Ovis aries: one gene and its partner. The protein of the gene in region 1 interacts with the protein of each later gene in a pairwise test. Links are inferred from orthologs where the notes say so. Each region holds a gene or a part of one and is shown on either strand. Other genes may lie near its edges. The genes, in order: CCNK and CDK18.

Region 1 (3,356 bases):
ATTCATTTCTCCTGGGTAGTTTACCATCTCTGGATGCAAGAGATCAGAGAATATTCAGATATGCTTAGAATTCACAACATCCTCACTTATCTGGCTATAAAAACAATTTTCTGAGAGGAGCTGCAGCCTGCCTGGGCGCTGGTTGCAGAGGGGCCAATGGGGCCACTGCCAGCAGGGCTGGGGCAGGAGGAACAGGTGATGAGGAGGCAGCAGGGGCCACTGCCAGCAGGGCTGCCGCTTCTGAAGCCACAGGAGGAGGAAGATGGGCGGGGGACGACGGACACGGACGTGGAGGGGCAGAAGCCTTGGATGTAGACATTATGCAGCTTTTTGGAATCACATGTAGGCCAGAAAAATGACACCTCTGACGGGCAGAGGGAGATTCCAGGTCAGTGGAAACAGCCATGGGTTACTTCTCTGGGATGTTCAAGCTGGAGTGCAGACTCATCCGAACCCCTTCTGGTCCAGCCCCCTGCCTCATGCCCCTTACCCTCCTTTCCAGATGCACCCACACCACCCCGGCCCACACCCCCACCACTAGCACTGTTCATGACAGGAGCTCCATCTCAGACGTCTCCCCGCGGGGGCCCTCTGATTTTAGCTTGGGGTCTGATGGGAGGCTCCAGGGCACAGACCCTCAAAAACGAGACAGGACAGAAGACTTCCAGTATTTTTTAGGCCTGAGGATTGGGACTGCCCTTGGTGTAAATCCGTGAATTTTTCAGAGGGGAAGTTGTTTCCACTGTGAAAAGTGTATCTGGCTGCAACAAGAATATATCCAGAGGGGGGAAAGTGGGGAGGGGGCTGCATGGTGTGGAGTCAGGGTAAGAGTGGGAGAATGAGGTTAGGGGAGGGGGGCTGGGAGCTGGAGAGGGTGCAGACTGACTGGGAGACCCCGTGGGTCATCAGAACACATCTCTCCCGGTCAGTCTGCACCCTCCCCAACTCCCAGCCGCCTCGACCCCCTTTGTGTTCCTGGGGCTTCCCTGGTGGCACAGACAGTAAAATCTGCCTGCAATGCAGGAGACCCTGGATCAATCCCCTGGGTCGGGAAGATCCCCTGGAGGAGGAGATGGCAACCCACTCCAGTATTCCTGCCTGGAGAGTTCCATGGACGGAGGAGCTTGGCACCACAGAGTCGCAAAAAGTCGGACAACACTGAGTGAGTATCCACATTTAGGTCATTAATGTCTTTTTAAATTTCTGAAATTCTAGAAGTGTTCCCCAAGACTTCCAAAATCTGTCCTTCAAAAAGGCAGAGAGAAAAGCTGGTCTTCCCAGAGACCAGCAGCACTTACCTGGAGGCGGATGGGCTGGAGGCAATGGAGGGTGAGTGGGCTCGATTTTGGGAATTTTAGGTGGTGGTGGTTCTAAAAAGCAAAAATAGATTTAAAAAGCTATTCTTCATGTAGAATAAACATGTCACAGAGAGAGAGAGAGAGAGAGAGAAGGAAGAGAAAAATGTACCGTTAAGGAATTTTTTTTGGAAAAGGCAGATATGAAGGCTTTAAGGGAAGCTAAGGACAGACTGGCTAAACCATCCTTTTAAAGGAACAAAAAGGAAATCAAACAAACACATCCCCCTGTACCCCCCGCCTCCGCCCTTCCAACGCCCCACACCTCTCACCACCTCCCCGCCCAAAACAAACATGGCCAGCCCGTTTTCCGAATCTGCCCAGTTTTCTCCTGACCACCTAAGACAAGCCCTCCAATGACCTGAGAGAAGTGGAGTGAATCTCAGGTGCCAAGTGGTATCCATCGGGGTCCACCCTAACACAGAGAACACAAAGAAAGGCCCCGAGTGTGCACAGGAGCAACTCTCGCTGTGTAATTCTTGCTCAGGCACATCCGAGTTTATTTTCTCTCAAAAATATTTACTCCCAGTTATCAGCACATTAACTGGACGCTGGACGTGAGCAGACGTAACAGCAAAGCGGTCGGGACCACTTGGGGCAGGGCACACGGCCCACCCTTCGTGGTGGGGCGGCTGCATGGAACTGACACCCCCAGTGACCACTTGGCTAAGTGGCCAAGACAGGCTGCACTGCGTCCAGTATCTTCCGGTCATGAGGAGAGTGTATGTATACAACCAAAAGAGCACCCCATCTTCTTGTTTGTATTTTTGGTTCTTTCTTCCTGAAACTTGCTCTATTCTAGCTTGTACACCGCTCTGCTCTGGAGTTGCTCAACATTCCTGGCTTCCTCCATCTCAGACACAGGCTGACTTCAAGGTCCAGGACCTACCCTCTTTACCCTCTTCCTGAGAGATCCCCCTGACCCCATTCCTCTGTCTCCGTGCTGTGAGCGCTGCCAGGAAACTTTCTGAACCGAATGAACTCAGACCATGCCATCTCCTGCTCACACACCTCCAGCAGCGCCCAGCGTCTGCAGTACCCACCCTCCACCAGGTGGGCACAGTCCCTGCTTCCATCCCACCTTCAGTCTAGCAGAAGCTATTCCCCTTTAACCCACAATCCAGTAACACTCCTTTCTCTAGTTTTCTCCTAAATTCTCAATTCCACTGATCACTTTTCATCCACCTAAAGACTCCACCTTGCCAGCCCCAGCTGACTGGCATCAGTCCTCCTCCGAGGCCCACCGGGCTGGTCTCTGCCTCTCACGGGGTGGCACCGGCTCAGCGGATTGTACACCCACGTGAAATAGAGCACAGCCCCCTCTTCTGTGTCTCACACTTGCTGCCTACCCATCTGGAGCTTAAAAAAAAAGATCTCCCCTGTACTGAACTCATCATATTTCCCCAAAGATCCTGAGAAAAATGTAGCTTTACTGTAACGTGAAGGTCTCACAACAGTTCAATAAGTAATTCCCAGGGCTCCTACCCTGGAACCAAGCAACAGAGAAAACAGAGAATCAGAGATACACCCGGTCTGCGCCTGCACGGGGGTCAACACCACCCAGCCGGCTGAGTCGGAGGCAAAGTGCCTCTCATTGTCTCCTCTGTGATCATCCAGGCTTCCCTCACCCTGTGGTTTCCAGCACAGAAACAAGTTAACCAACTCTGGGCTCCACAAATATGGGCCATATAGGTGTTGCAAAAAAGCCTGGCCCTGTAAGCAGCAGGTGGCACCCTGGCCCGTGGCTCCCCTCCTTTCTACCTGTACGCTGCTGCTTGATGCTCAGCCGGGGGCCTTCACTCTGTTGACTGCAGTGGGCTTAACTAACCTTCAAAAATAAATGCTGCTGCAGCAGTTCGCCTACATCCCTATTTTGATATACAGTCGGCCCCTTGCATCTGCAGACAGGGAGGGCGGACTATGAAACTCGAGCATCTGGGAGTCTGGTATCCAAGGCGGGTCCCAGAGGCCGCCCCCTGCCGCTGATACCAAGGAATGACT
Region 2 (3,284 bases), on another chromosome or scaffold:
CAGAGGCGGCCCTGAGGCACCCCTACTTCCGGTCTCTGGGGGAGCGTGTGCACCAGCTGGAAGACAGTGAGTGCGAGGGCGAGGCTGGGGGGCCTCCCTGGACCCGGGAACGGGGCAGTGGGTCTGGGCGAGGAGGGAGCAGAGCCCAGAGCCCAGGGCCCAGGTCTGGCTGAGCAACCTGGCTCCCTGTCCCCGGGTTTTCCTTAGTAACGAGGGGAGCAAACCCAGTCATCCTGGGGCTGCCAGCCTGACTGAAGGGGTGCCCAGCTCCCCGCGCGTGGTGGGCGAGGGGCTGCAGACTGCGGGAGTGGAGCCGGCTCGCTGAGTGGCCTCCCGGCCTGTGCCCTCTCTGCCCGCAGCTGCCTCCCTCTTCTCCCTGAAGGAGATCCAGCTCCAGAAGGACCCCGGCTACCGGGGTCTGGCCTTCCAGCAGCCAGGTAGGGGCCTGTCCTCCCCATTGCTCACCCTGACTAGAGGAGGCCAGGGCGGGCAGCACTTGCCTTCCTGAGGAACAGAGATAGGGCCGGGAGATGGGGGCTCCTCCCCGACCCAGGCCTCTCTTCCGGGGGCCTGCAGGGAGCAGGGCAGGGCCGGTTTCCCTATCTGCTGCCCAGGCTTCCTCCTTGTGTCTTCCTCCTCAACCCGCGCCCCAGACAGAATGCCACATCTGAAAGTAGCCCCATGAAGGTGTGCCCGTTTCCTGGTGCCTTCTCTCAGCACATTCTGAGCTCCAGGTGTAGCCTCTATCCTGGGAGAACTGCACTTATTTCCAGACTAGCTGATGGCCTCAGATGTGATAAGTGCTTTCCATATAGCATCTTATTTAATCCTAAAATTTTCATTGAAGTCGATGCCATTGGTTAATGCTCCCCATTTCTCAGGCAAGGAGACTGAGGCTCTGGGAGGCTGAGCTGCAGTTTCACATAGTGAGTGAGTAGAAGGGATGGGATTAGAGCTCAGGACTGACCAGCTCCTGAGCGCATGCCCTTGCTGGCTCTGGCAGAGCAGTCCGTCCCTGCTGATCTCAGGCGACCTTGGCCCCCGCCTCCTCCTTGCAGCTCCACATCTTTCCTTCCATTTTCCAGGGCGAGGGAAGAACCGCCGACAGAGCATCTTCTGAGCTGTGCCCGCCCTCCTGTGGCCCAGGGGCGAGAGGTCACACCGTGCACAGCTGCAGCGGGATGGGGCCCGTGCGGCCTCGGAGGACAGATGCGTGAGGGCTGGTGGCCGGCCCGGGAGACCTTGGGCAGCCCAGCTGTCCGTGGCTGCTTCCTCTCCCTGCTTCCCATGTGCCTCCCCAGACACCAACCCCTTGGCCCAGACACCAACCCCTCCACTGCCTGCCCTGGGGCCAGGCATGAACTGCTTCCTTTGGAAGAGGTGGTGGGCAGAGAGCAACCTCAGGCACTTTCCCACCCTGAAGCCCTTGGGCACCAGCGGGGAACCCACAGGGACTGGAGAGTCCAGAGGCTGAGCTGAGCACTGTGCCTTGGACATGGGCGGCGCTGTGCCCCCCGACCTCCCGGGGGCCTGCCTGCCTGCCTGCCTCATCAGTTTGGTTGAGACCCTTTCAGGCCCCTGGGAGCCCGCACATCTTTCCCCTGTTTCCCCTCTGAGAGCAGGAAGTGACATGGCACCTTGTCTGGGACCCTGGAACCCTGGGTGCCAACGTTTGTGCCAAAGCCCCTCCCACCTGTGGGGGCGGCCGTCCCCAGAGCGACAGAGCCGCACCCCTCTCCCATTCCCCCCGACTTGTCCCCATGGCCCGCTCCTTGCCAGGGGCCCCGTGTGCTGCTGGTGGCCCAGCCAGTCCCACGGGGCCCTGGCTCCCTGGCCACGCTCCTGCAGCTCCGTGGAGCCCGCCCTCCCCCCCAGTCTGAGCGGGATCGCCTTAAACTGCAGGCGGTGGGGCACTGCCCTGGGAGCTCTGCCTCCCGCTCCTACCAGTCTGCCGTCTCCCGAGAGCTCTTCCTGCTTCTCATCCCCGAGTGCGGGGGCGGCCGTCCCCAGAGCGACAGAGCCGCACCCCCCTCTCCCATTCCCCCCGACTTGTCCCCGCGGCCCGCTCCTTGCCAGGGGCCCCGTGTGCTGCTGGTGGCCCAGCCAGTCACATGGGGCCCTGGACCAGCATCCTGCGGGCAGCGCCTGGGTGTGCAGGCTCACCCTGAGCCTGGTGTCAGGCCGGCCCCAGCTCGGTGGTGTTGCACAGCCTTCCTCTTCTGCTCCTCCCCAGTGCCCGTGGCTCTGTCCTTGCTCTGGCCTGACTGGAGCCTCTCCATGCCCAGAGGAGGCCAGGCCCACAGTCTGAGATGCAGGAAGGTGGGGCGGGATGGGGTTGGCTCTTACCCTGAGCTCCAGGGGACTGGGAGTGTGCTGGGCCGTGGCCCCAGAGAAGGCGCCTCCACCCCCCTATGGAGCATACCTCTTGTATTCCCAAAGTCTCAACACTGGGCTGGGTCTTAGACGTCAATGCCAAAGGGAGGCCAGGCCCCCTGCCCACCCTCTTCTGCCTGAGGAGCAGCCCTGGAGGGTCTTGGCTTCCCCATAAGTCCCCATCCCCACCCCCCACCACTGTACTGTGAATATCCTGTGACTCAGCATAAAGACAGATAATATATTTAATTCATGTGGTACAGAAAGGAGTGAGGAGTCTCCTGCACAAAAGCTGATGTTGACAAACTGATGCCAAAGGTGGGGGACGGAAGGGCCTCCCCAGGCCCCCGAGGGCAGGCCGGGCTTGTGTCTGTGCAGATAAAGCGGGGAGAGTTTGGTTAGTGTGTGTCCCTGAGCCCACTCTGGCCATGGGCCTGGTGCCCTGTACTCTCCCTGCTGTATTCTGGATGCTGCTGCCTTCAGGGCTGGCAGTCAGTCCCGGGCACCCGGGATGGGTGCAGGAGAGGCCTGGGACTTGGTTCTGTTGCCGCCGTGGCCCGAGTTGCTGCCAGGGGTCCTGGGGAAGGGTCTGGGTTCTGTCTGATGTAGCTGACCTTTGTGCTCCCCCAACCGAGTGAGTCTCTGACTTCTTGGGAGGCAGGGAGGAAGGTTTAAGAGAGGGCTGACGTGGAGAATGGTCAAGGCCAGCACAGCAGAACCAGGGAGACCTGTATTTCCAGCCCAATGGTAACTGCACAGACCTGACTCCCCTTCCCGCTTCCCAGATGCCCCCTTACCCTGGGTCTGTTCACACCTCCTTTCACGCTAATCTCCCAGAGTCCTCAGCATCCTGCTGTGTTTTCCGGTTCAGTGTCCAGGTTTGTTCTCCCCAAGCCCACCCTGAGAATGTC

What was found.
Region 2: the proteins of CCNK (region 1) and CDK18 interact in binary tests that used the Homo sapiens proteins (3 or more experiments, as listed by UniProt). The two-hybrid records come from large-scale screens. The link is inferred for Ovis aries from reciprocal best matches to the Homo sapiens genes CCNK and CDK18.

The regions. Positions count from the first base shown.
Region 1 is NC_056071.1:62,177,773-62,181,128, reverse strand, and holds part of CCNK (cyclin-K), read right to left. Parts: intron 1,771-3,356; coding exon 1,717-1,770; intron 1,371-1,716; coding exon 1,299-1,370; intron 1-1,298. UniProt on the Homo sapiens protein: Regulatory subunit of cyclin-dependent kinases that mediates activation of target kinases.
Region 2 is NC_056065.1:3,138,883-3,142,166, forward strand, and holds the end of CDK18 (cyclin-dependent kinase 18), read left to right. Parts: coding exon 1-66; intron 67-359; coding exon 360-437; intron 438-1,085; coding exon 1,086-1,120; 3' UTR 1,121-2,639; downstream 2,640-3,284. UniProt on the Homo sapiens protein: May play a role in signal transduction cascades in terminally differentiated cells.